Linked DNA regions of Caenorhabditis elegans. The protein of the gene in region 1 purifies or fractionates together with the protein of each later gene. This does not show direct contact. Each region holds a gene or a part of one and is shown in the gene's direction. Other genes may lie near its edges.

What was found.
Region 2: the proteins of gtap-1 (region 1) and F01D5.6 fractionate together in Caenorhabditis elegans (co-fractionation; one large-scale study listed by BioGRID). This does not show direct contact.
Region 3: the proteins of gtap-1 (region 1) and twk-36 fractionate together in Caenorhabditis elegans (co-fractionation; one large-scale study listed by BioGRID). This does not show direct contact.

Annotation. Positions count from the first base shown.
Region 1 is NC_003280.10:5,828,084-5,834,789, reverse strand, and holds gtap-1 (Dynein heavy chain 7, axonemal), read left to right. Parts: upstream 1-1,553; 5' UTR 1,554-1,557; coding exon 1,558-1,614; intron 1,615-1,659; coding exon 1,660-1,779; intron 1,780-1,825; coding exon 1,826-1,929; intron 1,930-1,978; coding exon 1,979-2,051; intron 2,052-2,103; coding exon 2,104-2,238; intron 2,239-2,283; coding exon 2,284-2,759; intron 2,760-2,767; exon of another isoform or gene 2,768-2,858; coding exon of another isoform or gene 2,859-3,707; intron 3,708-3,764; coding exon of another isoform or gene 3,765-3,905; exon of another isoform or gene 3,906-4,272; coding exon 4,273-4,603; intron 4,604-4,687; coding exon 4,688-4,858; intron 4,859-4,902; coding exon 4,903-5,023; intron 5,024-5,072; coding exon 5,073-5,245; intron 5,246-5,291; coding exon 5,292-5,476; intron 5,477-5,833; coding exon 5,834-5,999; 3' UTR 6,000-6,108; downstream 6,109-6,706. Other genes in the region: Transmembrane GTPase fzo-1, read left to right, coding at 1-262, 312-423, 469-939, 986-1,120, 1,169-1,250; col-74 (Nematode cuticle collagen N-terminal domain-containing protein), read right to left, coding at 2,859-3,707, 3,765-3,905; ZK1248.11 (E3 SUMO-protein ligase NSE2), read left to right, coding at 6,204-6,449, 6,497-6,700.
Region 2 is NC_003280.10:14,004,852-14,009,125, forward strand, and holds F01D5.6 (TPM domain-containing protein), read left to right. Parts: upstream 1-1,658; 5' UTR 1,659-1,659; coding exon 1,660-1,935; intron 1,936-2,266; coding exon 2,267-2,368; intron 2,369-2,429; coding exon 2,430-2,680; intron 2,681-2,878; exon of another isoform or gene 2,879-2,984; intron 2,985-2,986; coding exon 2,987-3,128; intron 3,129-3,182; coding exon 3,183-3,270; intron 3,271-3,320; coding exon 3,321-3,420; intron 3,421-3,490; coding exon 3,491-3,620; 3' UTR 3,621-3,737; downstream 3,738-4,274. Other genes in the region: F01D5.7 (Serine aminopeptidase S33 domain-containing protein), read left to right, coding at 3,815-3,832, 4,175-4,274.
Region 3 is NC_003283.11:17,743,074-17,748,819, reverse strand, and holds twk-36 (Potassium channel domain-containing protein), read left to right. Parts: upstream 1-1,760; 5' UTR 1,761-1,765; coding exon 1,766-1,872; intron 1,873-2,067; coding exon 2,068-2,411; intron 2,412-2,911; coding exon 2,912-3,177; intron 3,178-3,219; coding exon 3,220-3,361; intron 3,362-3,413; coding exon 3,414-3,647; intron 3,648-3,933; coding exon 3,934-4,088; intron 4,089-4,133; coding exon 4,134-4,394; intron 4,395-4,989; coding exon 4,990-5,169; downstream 5,170-5,746. Other genes in the region: R12G8.1 (Phorbol-ester/DAG-type domain-containing protein), read left to right, coding at 420-739.

The DNA of each region.
Region 1 (6,706 bases):
GAAAAAGCTTACCGTGAGCAGACAGAGCAACTGCGAGCCGAAGTTCATCTGAAAGTTTCTGCTGATTTCTTTGAAGAAATAGCACGACTTGATGCAATAATTGATCGATTTGAACAACCTTTCGATGGAAGCTCTTCCGGAATGACAAAGTATAAAGAGGATTTGGCAATCTTTGTGGACAAATGTTTGAGCAGTGATTTGGAAGCTAGATGTACCGGTGGCCTAATGTCAAGAATTTGGAATTTGGAGAATGATATGTTCCGTAAGTGTTTATCTGGGAACTGATGTGTTATAAAAAATTTTTTTTCCAGAATATGTGACAAAAATCCTCGCCGAACCTTATCAGAATAAGCTTGAAGAAGTGTGGCGATATCGTGCTCCTTTCAAATTTAGCATTTGTGTCGATGTCCCTGCTCTTGTCAAGTGAGTTTCGATGGATTTTTTGTGTTTCATTCTTACATTTTTCAGTGATTTCCATGAAGACCTCGAGTTCCGATTCACATTTGGTCTACACGCAATAATTCGTCGCATCATTGCGTATCGAAGCGGCCAACCTGTCACTGCAATCAACACCAATTTGCTTACTCCATTATCACTAAAACAACAATCCGAAAAGAATTCAGTGAGAGATGCAGAAGCTTCTGCAGCTTCCGAAGAACAGGCAATGATGACTCAAATGGTTTTGACATCAGCCGCATTTTTAGCAAACGGAAGTCTTGGAGTGCTAGTTGTTGGTGGTATTGTGTATAAGGCTGTTGGTTGGAGAGTAATTGCTGTCGGAGGAGCGGCCTACGCTGGACTATATGCATGGGAACGAATGCGCTGGAATTCGGGAGCCAAGGAACAACATTTGAAAGAACAGTTCAGATCACATTTAGCTGCTCGAATGCAACAAGTTTCAACAGCTCATACTCATCACTGTGAAACACAAGCTATCAGGTATTTTTTAAACCGTATAGTTTTCAATTCAATTTGTTGTTTTCAGAGAAATGGACCAAGTCTTTGACGGATTGAAAGCAACTGTTGGTGGAGTCCATAGAGAAATGAAAAACGATTTGGATGTACAGAAGACACAAATTGATGCAGTTGATTCAACAATTCGAACATTGGGAACAATCAAGTATGTCCTCTTAGATCTGTGTCAAGAATTAATAAAATTAATTTTCAGAGGAAAAGCAGTGTTTCTTCTCCGAAATCTCGAACAATTTGCATCTTCTTATCTCCGATCGGACTCTCCGCCAACGCCATGAAAATGACTAGTCTGAATTTAACTAATTTTGGTGCTTTTCCCCTTATTCACTCAGTCCTATAGCTTTTAATTCGAACGATTGGTAATCGGTTCAATGTAGATATTTTGATGAGCTGTTTTCTCGTTATTTCTAGACAATTTCAGTAGTTTTAGTGTTTTGATTATGATACTTCTATGAGACGAATAATAATTCGAATAAATTTTTGTCGTTTGATTTTTGAGAAGATATTCAATTATCTGTATTTATATTCATCAGAATTTCTATTTATGTGTTGTGGTATTTGAAAATAGGAAAATATAATTCAGGTATGAATGAAGACGACGATGTTGGAATTTCTGTGGAATTCGATCAATGCACGCAGGAGGTACTGTAGGGAACCAAATATAGAAATAGTTAGAACAAATTTCAGACAATGTTCTACAATTCTTGTCTAGAAGATCGTGACGAAGGAGGAAGCGGAGACATCTCACGTGCTGATTCTGCAGTATGTCTCACGACACCTAGAGATCCGTTTCCAGCTGTTCTACAGGTAATTGAAGATGAACGAAAACTTTTTATAAACTGTTTTTTTTTAGAAGTTCAACTCATCTCGTAAGAATCATCAAATAAAAAAGTTTCATGATAGCAATGTAAAACGATGTCAAGAGTACAGAAAGAGTATGGAACATCAAAGAAATGGGTAAGAAATTCGGATTTTCAAAAACGAATATTAATCATTTTATTTTGAGAACAGACAGTTATTTGCTCACTCAACAACGGCTCGCTGTTCATCTCATCGACTTTATTGATTTACCTGTTAAAGTTAGTTCAAAAACTAAAATAATTTTTATCAAAAATAAACGTTATAATTCAGAAAAATACTCAACGAAGAATATGCACTGATCGTGTGTCGATGCCTCTATACAGATTGACGTCTGGTGGTCTTGAAGTGAACTCGGATTATTATTTTCCAATGGAATCTCCGTATGCGAATATTCAAAAATCTTATGTAAATTTTTAATATTTCTTCTATCAATTATTTAAGTTATTTTAGCTACGAACACTGGCCGACCACCTCACTCGAACTCATCGGAAGCTTAACGAAATATGTGAATTTGTGGAGAGATGTGAAGAACACAGTCAACTGATGCTTCCGACACTGATTACTGTACTCTGTGATTGGGTGAAACAATTTCTTAGAGATCACGCTTGTCATCTCGACGAACTTCGTGCTGAGCGACTGGAAGATCCTTTACAGACATTGGCTCGACTAAATAAAAATATGGAAGAGGTGGAAATAGTGAGAGCAGTGATTGGCGATGATGTTGGAAGACATATTTGGTTATGGGAAGATATTGAAAACTCTTGGAATCGTGTATTCCTGTTAACACAAATGGATGCCATCGCAAAGAAGAGGGATGTTGTCAAGTTGTTACAAAATAAATGGATTCGCGCTTTGTTGTCAATTATGGATCATATTTTCGAAATTGGAAGAGTTCCTGCAGCTATCGACTATTTTGTTTTGCACAAGTGAGTTTCAATTTTATGATTTTTAAAGTTTTAAAACGTAAGATTCTTGCTTGAAAAATTTATATAAATATTTAAGAGAAGAAAAATAAATAATCGCATCTAATGACGTCTGTTCTTGTATCCCTGGTTTCCATTGACTGGTGCACTTTCCTGTCTTTGAGGACATGGACAATATTCGGCATCAGTTCCTGGCTCTCCCTCCTCTCCTGGTGCTCCAGCAGAACCGTTCTCTCCATTATCTCCCTTGTCTCCACGTGGTCCACGCTCTCCTGGTGCTCCTGGAATACCTTGAGCTCCGGTATCTCCTTGTGGTCCTTGATCTCCTGGTTGTCCAGTTGGTCCAGAAATTCCCTTTGGTCCTGGAAGTCCGACTTGATGTTCGACATCAGCTCCTGGTTCTCCTTCTGATCCTGGTTCTCCTTGTGGTCCGACTGGTCCGACTGGTCCGAGGCTTCCTGGCTGTCCTGGAGTTCCGTCACGTCCTGGCATGGCTCCTTGTCCGCGAGCTCCACGCATTCCACGAACTCCTGGCTTTCCTTGTGGTCCTTGTGGTCCTTGTGGTCCCTGTGGGCAAGTGAAGCATCCTGCATATTGTTGAGTTTGAGCTTGAGCATCGTCAGCATCCTGTCCATCGATTCCTGGCACTCCTGGAATTCCGTCGATTCCGTCAGATCCTTGAGCTCCCTTTGGTCCAGCTGGTCCAGCTGGGCACGAATTGTCAGCCTGGCAGTTGCAAGATCCTCCTGGATTTGGTTCTCCTCCTTGTGTTGGGTTGAATTGTGGTGGCACTCCGACAACTCCTGGGAAGCTTCCTGGATTCATTGGGGATGCGCCTCCTGGGAATCCACCGTGAGGTGTTGGGTTGGCTCCAGAAGCTCCATATCCTCCATACTGACGTTTAACACGGCCGAACTTTTGCATATCACGATAGAGACTGTCAGTTTCAAACTAAAATTTCACATTTTTATTACTATATAACATATAACGGACTTTATATTTACTTACCTTCCATGCATCCATCTCAATATTCATCTCATTTCGGATATCTTCGATGTTGGAGCTGATACCTTGAACAGCAAAAAGAATGAATCCGATCGAAACGAGTCCGACGGTAATAGCCGCGTATGCAGTAGCTGTCGACGTCATATTCAGACTTGACATAATTATCAGATTTCTCTCATTGCTTTTTATACTTTTTTCTAGCTATGGTCATTCATCATTCAACCTGTTTTCAGAATTTCCTCCAAAAATTCCATCATGTCAATTCTCAAATTTCTCCAGCGTTTTTTAATTTGATTTCCATGCGAAATATTGCATATTCGGAAGAGATATCTAGAGAGATATTTGCATATTTCACTTATTTCCGCTAGAATGGCCATGAGATAAACGGGTTGATATCAGGGTGTGGAGAATAAGTGATTAGTGATGGTGTTTGAAATGTTACTAATAATCAAAATAATCTGAAAATTATAACGAAAACTCCGTAAATACTAATTTAAAACTTTATTTTTAGTGACGTCAAACCGGATGCTCAAATTCTACTTTGTCGAGATATCAAAGAAGTTCAATCGTTACTTTGGGATGAAGAACTGATTGAAATCATTCTTGAAGCAGTCAAATGTCGGATCCGTGTTGGATTAATTGAATTTCCAGTCAAAACATTCACGAATGCATTTGATTCATTACGAGCCGCAGCTAAATTCACTGAAGATCTTCTACCATTTGATGAATTCCGATCTCTATTTTTTGATACATGTCTCCTACTTCAGGATCAGTTTGCACAAGAGCTACTCAATGAATTACATAGAAACAACCGATTTGTCAACTTGTGGGTCGACTTAGAGGCATGTGATTTAAATTTACTGATAAAAAAAAATATTATCAGTTCGGAGAATTGATGGGTGTCTGACAAAAACTTTTTCTTTCAGAATGTTGTCATTGGTTCGATTTCACAGCAATATGCAACAACAGTCTTCCGATCAGATTCCAATGTTACCAACTTTGCTGATGCATTTTGGTTGGCATCGAGAGGTCGGATGAGTAAGGAAAATATGAATATATTCTCATGGATTTCAACAAAATCTGAATTCACATGCAAGGTATTAGCATTGGAATAAAATTTTGAAAATTAAATGTTTTTCAGCTCGAGCATATGCTGGCTTCATTCATTCGTCCCGAAGTTATTGACGTCATGAATCAGTGTATGAAGTTTGCACACAGCGCATATCGAACCAGAGAATTGCTAGTTACGATGGCTAATGACAGTGAGCTTTTCAACCGGTCAAGGATGTAATTTTACATTTTTTGTTTCAGAAGAACTACTATCTCGAATGAAATGTCCACAATCCACAATCGATGTTTCTCTCGCTCATCACAAAACGAATGCAATCGAGAAAATGAATCGAGCACTTAGAACAAAACTTCGTTTCTTTGTATTCACACTCGAACAAGTTGTGTCACATTTCAGAGAGTTGTTCTCTGATAAGGTTTTCTTAAATATCTTTTTTATAATTTTCAAATATCCTTTTCCAGGTTCGCTATGTATTTCGAACGGCACGTGATCAAATTGTGAATGCAACAAGCTTGAAGCAGGTGGAAAATGCGATTACAGATGGTCACAAGAAGCTCTCAGATCTTGTTGTACGCATTGGAATCAGACGATTGGTTCATGAAAATATGGATATGTTTATGACTATGACAGATGAGATACGGTTACGGTAAGTTATACAATTATTAAATGCAAACATTTAAATTAATATTTTGGCACTTTCAATGCCATTGGATTTAAATTTCAACTTTCAGATCAGATCAAAAAGTTTTTCCACCGAAAACACAAAAAAAGCAACAAAAAACCAAAACTAAGAATTATTAAGTTTGAAACTTCATTTTGAAAATCTAAAACAAGTTGACCAAAATTGTACTTTCTTTTAAAATTTCGACTTTAATTTTTTTCTACTCAAAATTGTTTTGTGAAGCATAATTTTTCGTATTTTTTTCCAAAAAAAAAAACATTTACAGCCATGACTGCAGCTTTTTTGATTGAGCTTTTTAAAATGAAAAATTACTATTTTCAGATCAGTCTCCAACACGTTGGATCTTGACTATTTGGATCGATGTGAAACAAGTGTTCGAATTACTTTACAAAAGCTGCTTTCTCTACACGAAGCTTGGGGAAACGACAAAGATTCCATATTTTTCCATCTTTCTGTCCGAATAGGAAAATTGAATATGGGTACCTAATCACTTCTTATTCACTGCCTGGTTTTTATCGCCTTATGTTCAAAATTTTCATGCATAATCACTTTCTGAAAATATGGGTTAATTCAATAAAAAATTTTAAATTTTAAATGTTCATTTGTAGGCTAATGTTATTCGTATATAACGATTTTTGAATTATCTTTTTTTGTTATTTAGAAGTTCAATAAGTTGTGAAATCCCTTCCAGATGTCTACCCAGCTCGCCACTAGTATGGAAATTATTCGAAAAAGTCTGAGAAAGGCTGCTGAGGATGTTCTTCATATCAATTCAAAAAATGCTATTTCAAATGAAGTAGATTCTGAAGAATTCAAAGAAACATTGATGAAAGATGCAATGAAGTTGATGGAATTGGAGACTGAAGGTGCTCAAATGCAACACATTTTTGAAGCGTTGCATAATGACCTGAAAGATGGTTCAGACGAGGTTCCGAATGTACGTTGCAGATATTTAAACAAATTATATTAATAATAATTTTGCAGGAAAAAGCATTGGAGGAGTTATACGAGAAGGCGAAAAAAACCCATAAAAATGTGAAAGGCGAGCGACAGTACTTCAAAGACATTATCAAATCTATAAGGGATGAAAGTAAAAACGATGAAAATGAAATGGAAGTGATGCAAGTTCAACATAGTAGAAAGGATCCAATTTCGAAGAAAGATATTGTCAATCCAGTTATCAGTAAGGTAAGT
Region 2 (4,274 bases), 8.2 Mb from region 1:
TTGTTGAAAATCGAACGTCGGGTGAAGAAGAGATAGGTTCACACACACACACCCAGGAGGCAACAACGAGGCGAACGATAAAGCCACCGGAGACGCAGACGGTCTTCGGATCTGGTTCGGCGTGTTGAGAGGGGGCATCAGCCGGTTCCTCTGAGGAGGGGGAAGAGGGGAGACGAAGAAGAAGATACCCCCGTCCGGTGAAGCTTATTATCCGACAGGCAGACGATTGTTGCTTTGACTTCTTCTTCATTGCCCACTTTTGAACACTTTTCAACAGGTCTCTCAAGATTTTTGGCAACTTTTTTTGCGACTTTATAGGGAGATTATCGGCTGGAGATTATGCAACATTCATAACTTTTAGTAGATCAATGATTATTGTGTAGAATTGGCTTCTTTTTCCTTGCTTAAAAAAAAATTAAAAATCCCCGAACAATTTCCAGCATTTTTTCATTTGAAAACTTCTTTCTAGACCTTACTGTTCCTGAGATACAAGCCTTTTTAGTCCAATGGGCTAGAGAGTGTGGAGAGGAGAGAGACGCAGGGCGCCTCGTCGTCGGCGTCTCCCCTCCCTTCACACTCTCTAGCTTTGCTCTCGCTAAACTGTGTGTAACTTTTTAACTGTAAAAGATACAAAAAAGTGGCAAGAGGCAAAAATGATCAGCATAAAATTTTCTATAAGCTGAAATCAAAATCTTTGGAAAATTCCAAAAAAAAAACTACTACAGCTGTCAGTTTTCAGCCTTAATTTATTACAGTGTACCTACTACAACTACATTTCCCTTGAATTTCCTCCAAAACTTTACAAAACGTTACAAAACCAAGCGAGTTTGTTTCTTAAGCATTTGCATAAGTGGTTTACAGTCCTCAGAAACATAGACACTTTGTTTATTCTCCCCTCCCCCCCCCCCATTCAAAATGAAAGCTTCTAGAATTTTCTCGTAGTTTACTTGGTAATGTATGCATGTGTAAACTGTAACTGTATATAATTGTATATATATAGAGACGTCTGAAACTCACAAAAACCACTTGAATAGCATTCTTGTGTGACTTGTGGCTTTTGGTGAATCTCGGCGAGAGTCACACACTTTTTATTCATTCACTATTTCCGTAAGGCTGACATGCCTAAGTGCCTGCCTACCGCCTATTTTTTGATATTTTCTCCGTATAAATTATTTTTAATTGTATTGAATTTCAAAATCAACAATTTCAAGCATTTTAAGATTTTCAAAACTGTCGAAGTCTAACTTTTCGAAAATTTCCAAAATATTGGAAAAAAATTATTTTTGGCAATAGGTAGTTTGTAGTTTGTAGTTTGTAGCTTGTAGTTTGTAGTCCGTAGTTTTAGCAGGTAGTTTGAAAGTATGCAGCTTTTTTTTGTTTAAAGTTTTGTATTCGTATACTTAAATACTTGTTAGAAATGTTCAATAGAAATTGTTCAAAAATATACATAGTTTGTGGTCATTGTAGTTTGTAGTTTGTAGTTTGAAGTTTTAATTTTTATTTACCTGTTTTCGGTCAAATATTCTTTTAACAATTTCCAGTTTTCTCAGTTTTCTAAAGAAACTGTTATAAAAAATCCTAAGCCGCTCTTCAAAATTTTTGTTTTTTTTTGCCGTTTTTGTGGAATCATACCTCTAAAATTTCAAATTTCATTACAGAATGCATCCCAAACTGGACCCTATCCTAATTCTCTTCCCATTCTTCTTCATCTCCTCCATAGTCGCACAATTCACATCGCAAACCTACCCAGATCCTCGATTAGATCCATTTTCATGTCGGTTGGCACTTCCATCGCAAGTCTGTGATCCGTCGGCTATCGTTTCCGATGAGGAGAGAAGTCGATTGGTGCAGAGGGTTAATCAATTGCATTCGTTGACTTCTGGAATTAAGAATACTTCTCCGTCATGTGCATTGATGCCTGATAGGAATTTGGAGGTGAGTTACTGAGTTGGACAATGTTGAAGTTGGTAGAAATGCGCCAGAAAGTCAACAGTTTCCGAAAATTTTTAATCCGGTTTAAGCCTAGACCTAGGCTTAGGCTTAGGCTTAGGCTTAACCGTAGACTTAGGTTTAGGCTCCGGCTTAGGTTCAGGCTTAGCCTTAGGCCTAGGCTTAGGCTTAGGCTTAGGCCGGGCAGAGCAGAAAAAGATTTAAAAAACGAAAAATGAAACAGTCCAAAGCCTGGCCAAATTTTTTTTTCGAACTTGCGTCAGAAAGATTCCAACCTTTGGCAGAAGCTTGCCAAGCTAAATCACTTATTTTTCAGATAATTGTCGCGATAATCGACAAAATCGGAAGTGTACCAGGTGTTCCAGTTGACATTGAAAAATTCGCCAATAACTTGAAAAGAAGATACCAAAACTTCCAGGTATGTCTTCTGAAACTGCTTTTAATTCTTAAATGTTCCTGTATATAATTTCAAATTTCAGGACGTTGGAATGTGCGACACTACAGTGCTCATCGTGAATTCTAGACAAGATCGTCAAGTGTTCACAGTTGCTGGTAGAGATGCCAAGATCTCGAAGGACACGTTGAAATCTGCATTTGAACGGAATATTGGGCATTTCAAGACAGGAAGATATGCACTTGGGCTGGAAGGAATGATTGAGGTCATTGTGGCAGCTTACTCGAATGCTCATATTGTGCAGGTCCCGACTCCAACTGAGTTTAGACCGACTGAGTGAGTTTTGGGGTTTTTTTGATTAGCGGCCCGCCAGGTGTCGGTTGCTATCTTTAGGAACCAGTCGACACATGAAAAACTGAGAAAGCCGCGGACATCTCACGGGCTTGAAAATAGTCTGAAACTGGCTTTTAGTAGACCTTGTAACAAAGGTGCAGCCGACATTCGGCAGGCTACTAAAAACACAGCTGATAGATTATGGGGTGCTCAGATAATTGCTGCAGCCGACAGCTCACGGGAATTAGTCGAAGCTGCAGCCAACACTTTCCTGGTCCTCTTTTTCAAAACTTACGATCAAACTTCCAGATTCATGCCAAACCCACCTGCGGTCTCTGCTGTTGAATCCCAACCATTCCGGGCCGCTGGTCTCCCGAACAGTGTGCAACAGGCAAAACGCCCATTCCCAGCTTTCAACACGATTCATGAGAGCATTGATGAAGATGATAAGGTAAATTTTGACAGAAGATTTCTATTTTTAGCCTAATTTTTTGAATATATTTAGGTCTGGGTATCAATCCTTCAGCAGGCCATGGCCCGATGTGGACAGAACGATGCAGATCTTCCAAAACATGTCAGAGCAGTTGTTGAAGGTTCGTTCAAGCTTTTTTAATAAAATTTTATATTAAAATTTTATATTTAGAAGCCATGAGTATCTCCTTGAAGCTGATTTCCGACTCACGTTACAACAAGATCGAGGAGGAGACCGAGAAGAACAAGGAAGTACTTGGAAACCGACAAAAGTGAGTTTTTTTCCAGACCCGTTAGGTGTCGGCCGCTGAACAGCCTAGCAAAAATACGAATTATTTTCAGAGCCTGGGACGGAGCCACCAACGACTTCATCCGCCCACTCTTCCAGAAGTACCGCAACTCGATCCTTTCCGGAGCATCACAAACCTGCCCGGTTAGCGCCGCGGGCACCAGAAAACGAAGACATTTCTAAATTTTGTATATTTTCTCTAACAATTTTCCACGACGGGTCACACATATCCTCTTAATTCCATTTTCAATTTTTCGATGAAAAAAAATCAATAAAAAATCCACGTCATTCCACGTTTTTGTTGTTATTTACACTTGCTCACAAAACAAAAACAACACTTTTTTCAATCATCGTTTAATTTCGTTTCCCATCTCGTCATGCTACGTCTCGAAGAGGTAAGTTAATTTTCAGTCGGTATTTGTTGGCTGCTTGAGTCATGCTTAGTCCCACGAGTTGTCGGCTGCTATTTTTGGGAAATTCTCAATTTCATAATACAAATCTTTTTTCACATTAAAATTGTTTTTTTTCTTTGCTAAAAATAATTCGGGTCCATAATGTCCCATAAAGTGTCGGCTGCTCGAGTCGGTTGCAAGTTTTAGGCGGTCTCAAGATGATTTCAGTTTAAATTTTAAACTCGCGAGGTGTCGGCTGCCAAACTAATCGGGGCTTTGCCAAAACTTATAGCATCTTCTTTGGAACCCATCAGATGTCTGGTTTTAAAAATCAATAATTTCCAGGACGAACCTTCCCCCGGAATCTGTGACCAGCTCCATGAGATCGTCCGCTCCATTGGCCTTCTATGCTACGTCGCATGCCCACCCATCCCATCGGAAATCA
Region 3 (5,746 bases), on another chromosome or scaffold:
TCTATTTTCAACGATTTCTTAAAACTTTTACGCTCGGACATATAGAAATTTGAATTCCACGTGTCTGAAATACCCAAAAATATTTTAGAAATTCGAAAAAAAAAATATTTGACCACAGGTCGGACTCGAACCCTGGTCGTAAGATTTGTTGTTCTCGAAAATCCCACTGCGCCATTCGGGCACTTTTTCCTTAAAACCTGTAAAATCGTTTGTTCATTTACAAGCTGGTCTTTATATGTCTAAACACTGCGTACAAAAATATTTGACCACATGGCGGGCTTGAACCCCGGACTTGTGCGCGATAGTTCTGGAAAATCCCACTGAGCCATTGGTGCATTTTCTCAAAAATTAGGCAAAAGCTAGATTTTAAGCACGGAACCTGATTTCTAGTGAATATTAGTTCATATTTCATTTTCCAGGCTGTGAGACAGTCGTTCATAAGCGGTGCCATGCCCTCATCACCGCCCGCTGCACCTTCGGACCATCTTCCCGAGCTCCGGTTCCTGCTGAAACTACAAATCTGAAAACTCGTCGTAGCCGATCTGCTTCGGAAGAACCTCCATCAAATACTCATCACTTTAACAAGCATTTCTTCACTCGCCCGACATTTTGTGATCACTGTGGAAGTATGCTCTATGGGCTCACGAAGCAAGGCGTTCAGTGCACGGATTGTCATGCAAATGTTCATTTTCGATGCCAGGAAAAGGTTTTGAGGAATTGTGGAATTCAGTGTCAATAAATATTGAAAAAATTGAGAAAAAAAATAAAGAAAAATGAAGAAAATTGGAGAAAGTTAAATTTGATAATCAGTCATAAACTCATATTGTTTTCCGGAATAAAGTTATTATAGTTACAATTGAGGCTCATAAACATCATAACAAAAATATTTGTCACTGTGCGGGTTTGAACCACGGACCTCTGATTGGAAGACATTAAAAATCCCACTGCGCCAATCGGACACTTTCCCGAAAGTTCGATTAAAATGACTTTTGCAGCTTGAAATTTGTTAATCACAGCTTGCAAAAAATAAATACCCTTGTGCGGACTCGAACCCCAGCCGTTTGATTGGAAGACGTTGAAAATCCCACTGCGCCAATCGGACACTTTCCCGAAAGTTCGATTAAAATGACTTTTGCAGCTATAAACTTGTTAATCACAGCTTGCAAAAAATAAATACCCCTGTGCGGACTCGAACCACTGACATCTGATTGAAAGACACTAAAAATCCCACTGCGTCATTAGGACATTTTCCTGAAAATTCGCTAAAAATGAATTTCCCAACTCGAACCTCAATTTCTAAAGCTTGCAAAAAATAAATACCCCTGTGTGGACTCGAACCCCGGACCTCTGATTGATAGACATGGAAAATCCCACTGTGCCATTCGGACATTTTCCTAAAAATTCGATAAAAATCACTTTTGCAGCTATAAACTTGTAAATCACAGCTTGCAAAAAATAAATACCCCTGTGCGGACTCGAACCCCGGACGTTTGATTGGAATAAATTCAGAATCCCACTGCTCCATTCGGAAATTTTCTCGAAAATTCGATTAAAACGTTTTCTTTCGTTATTTTAAAGTTTTTTCAGTGTAAAAATAAACTTTTCACACTCAATTATGTCATACATACCATATAAAAGTTAAAATATTCGTTTTCAGTGTAGTTTTAGTCTGAAAACCCCCACCAAATTTGCATTTTAAATCGTCGTCCGTTGACGTCTGTTCTATGTGTTCATTTCATACTTTTTTGTCAATTCCATGTAAAAAATGACCGTAACTTCTGAAAAAGACGGGTTAAAGAGTATTTTGAGTCAGAAGTATACGGTGGAGCGGAAAGATACCGTGCAGCATGTGCTCGAAGGGCCCGGTTTGAGGTTTGTTGGTTTTAATGAAAACATTTAATTAATTTTTGGGAAAATAAGAAAAACCAGGGAAAAGTGTATAAATTTTCAAAAACTTGAATAATTTCAAAAATATTTTCAAAAAAAAATTCCAAAAAAAAAAAATTTCAAAAAATTTTTTTTTTTTAATTCGAAAAATTCCAAAATTGTTTAATTTCCGATTTCCAGCCGCAACCAAAGCAATGCCAGTGTCCTAACCCTCCCAGGATCCCGAAACACCAGCTCCAACCACTTACCGGCTCAACGGAGCACCTCCGTGGATGAAGTGGCTAGGCATCGGGTCACTTATGAGATGGATGCTGGAAAATCTGAAAAATCTGAAAACCAGAATCCAATCTCTCAATATTATCAGAAAAATCATTATACTGTAACAGGAAATCAGGAAACTTACCAAAAACTTCCCAGGAACATTTCGGCGAACAGATTTCAAGTGGATAAAGCTTCAATTAGTCAGAAAAGTGCTCCGCGAGCCAGTGAGCCAATGGAAATGCCAATGTTACCTCAGGAAAGGCGTAAGTCAGTTTCAAAAAAAAACTACAATTTCCTAAAAGCTATCAAGATGTTTATACGACAAATTAAAAGTTTAGCAGAAAATGTTGGCGGAAAATTTAAATTTTTGAGCAAGAAGTTCAAGTTTTATAAAGATGATTCTTTTAAATTTTAAACTTCACTAGATGATTGGGCGGAAAATTCACATTTTTTCGAAAAAATTTGGCGGAACATCGAATTTTTAATAAGAAAACTTCGGCGAGAAATTCAAAATTTCTCAGAGATTTTTTTTTTCAAAAAATGTATTTTACATTCACATTTTCTCAAATAATTCAGCAGGAACGGCAAGACTTTTCAGAATTTTTAAAAAATAATTTCAAGTTTTCCTGAAAAGTTTTGGCGGGAAATTCAAATTTTCTTTAAAATTTTGACGAGAATTTCAAATGTTCCCAGAAAAATTTAAAGAATTTTCAATTTTTTTAAAAACTAGATTTCGCCCTCACCGACTAAAATTTTTTTCCAGAATTCGACAAATCCTTCTACTGGTTCGCAATGCACCGAAAAAAGTTCGGGCTCCGCTACATAGCTTTGCTGGTTTTGGCGTTGATCTACACACTTTTAGGGGCGACGGTGTTTTATCTGATAGAGGGTTCGAATGAGAAATCGAGACTGCATGTTCGGGAGCAAAACCTAGATAAGTTGTTGGATGAGCTAGCAACTGTGCTCTCAGAAGCCGTCAATGACCCGGAGCAAAGTTCTGAGCATCAGAGGATGAAGGAGTTTATAAAAGTATGGTGGTTTTGAGAAAGCTTGCCGGGATTGTCATTTCAGGAATCCTACATTTCCCTGCAAAAACACGAGGAGCAATACAAATGGAGCACATACTATCGTCTAGAGCACCCTGACAATCTCAAATGGACATTTTCAAGCGCATTTTTCTTCAGTATGAATGTTTACACAACTACCGGTTATGGTACCTGATCCAATTTTCTGTAACTTCAGCCCAATTAATTCCAAGGTTCCAGGTTCAATCTCAGCTCAAACCTTCAGCGGTCAGCTTTTCACAATGATCTACGCATTTTGTTTTGTACCGGTGACACTGGTGATCTTAAGGGATCTAGGCCAGATGTTCTTGGTGAATTTCACAAAATTGTACGCGCACGGGTTGACAGCGGTGAGGAGGATTCGTGGAAAGCGAGAAGTCGATGAGGATGAGATTATACAGCTGCCCATCAAGTTTTGTATGACTATTCTGATAGGTTAGCGGAAAGACCTCTGAAGCTTCGAAGATCTTAGAAGTAGCTCCTGTAGCGTCAAAATGCTCAGAGCTAGCATGTACCCGACTTTGTTTAAGATACCTGAGCTTGACTAGGCTATCCATAGTTTGTTAGACATTCTAACCTCGTCGAAACTTCCTAGAGTCAGCCAGGCAAGCCTAGGCTACCTAGGCTCTCTAACTGTCCTTGAAGACGAGTCTTACATGGTTCAGGCCATCATTTAGCCCGCGGTCTCCAACCTTACCCATCCTCGGTTCCAACTTTCCAGCCTACCTCCTCCTCTGCACCACGTTCGTGTACCTCTACGACGCCGTTATGGGCCCGGAATGGGACGACGGCCTACCGTACTTCACCGCATTCTACTTCTCTTTCATCTCTCTCACAACTATTGGTCTAGGCGATGTGATGCCAAATAATGTTCCGGTAAGCTTTTTGTACCTTTTGTGTTGCTTAATTTCAAAATTTCAGTACGCCCCGCCGGTCTCGATGATATTTTTCATCGGCATGGCAGTCACAAAAGTTGTGAATCGAGCAACATTTATTGCAGTGGAAAATGGGGTTTTTGGCCTGATGACCTTGGCGGAAACCAAGATTAGCATGCTCTTGACGGAACGGAAACCTGGTGTAAAAACTGTCAGATCAACATCATCAGGGTCTTCAGCAGAGTCCGTGGATTCAAAAGAGCCACGTGGATTTGATGGGGACTCGGATAGTGGATCGGATGATGGGGTAAGTCAAGCAGAAGATCAGAGAACATATTATTGCATAATTTGGAACTATAGTCACTCTGAAAAGTAAAAGAATCAAGTGAGAAAAAGTGGGTAAAACTGATAACGTTGGAAGCGTTATTTAAAGTCTGAACATGAGCTTGAGAATAAGCCTCAGCTTAAGTTTAGGCCAGAGTCTAAGCCTAAGCTTAAGCCAAAGCCTAAGCATAAGCCTGAGCCTAAGCTTAATTTCTCGAGTTTCTAGTACCTAAGGATAATCGGCCAACAGGAACCCCCTCAAAAATAATAAAAAAACCGGAAAATCCAAAGCCTAAATAGCGTCAGTAGCGAGCCAACGCTCGCCACTGACGCCAAGCCTGAGCCTAAGCCTAAGAGTAAGATTAAGCCTGAGCCTAAGCCTAAGCCTAAGCCTAAGATTAACCAAAGCCTAAGCCTAGACCTAACCCTAAGCCGAAGCCTAAGCCTAAGCCAAAGCCAAAGCCAAAGCCTAGTTCTAAGCCTGAGCCTAAGCCTAAGCCTGAGCATGAGCCTAAGCTTCAGACTAAGCCTAAGCCTGAACCTAAGCCTAAGCATATGCCTAAGCCTCATACTTTCAGGTAATCAACCGCCGCCGAAACGAGATGATGAACACCTTCACCGTCCGATCAATTGCCACATTCATGCGTTCCAACCATGACGTCTATGGTGGAGGATTCGGAAGAGTTCAACTAAGAAGAGGAGACCTTATGAGCTCTAATGCTTTACATACTGTACCTTGGGTCAGACCCTTACCATAATAAATTTTTCAAACCTTTTCTTTTTCGACCATCAAAGATCCAAGATTGTTCTGGCGTCATTCCAGGGAAAAATGAAAATGAAATGAAAAAAGCGAACTGGGAACAAAAATAATATGTCCACTTGTGGAAATTAACTTTCTCTTTAGTGTCCTCAAGTACAAATATACAAATATGTTGCATTTCTGGACAATTACAGACCATCGGCCACGTAATTTAGCCGACGAAAAAAGTGAAATTATTGCATAGGGGGATGAAACCGTAGCGGAAACCAAAAAGGCGGCGCCTGAAGAAGAGAAGCATAATTATAGTGAAACTTAGTGTTAATTGCCTTCTCTACATTGCCTTGTTTCACATCATTTTCTCCTTCCCCTCATCATCATTCATCAGTCATGGGCATCCGTATCACTTTTCCAGATGTTCGTTGATTCTGGTTTTTTATTTATTATGTGAATTTGTTCTGATCTTTTCTTTTTTTGCGGATTTCCTTATCAGAAACTTTTCGGCTTTGAAGATTAGAATATGCTTTTTTATGTTTCAAAATATCATTACTTATATATTTAAAAAAATCATTCGTTTG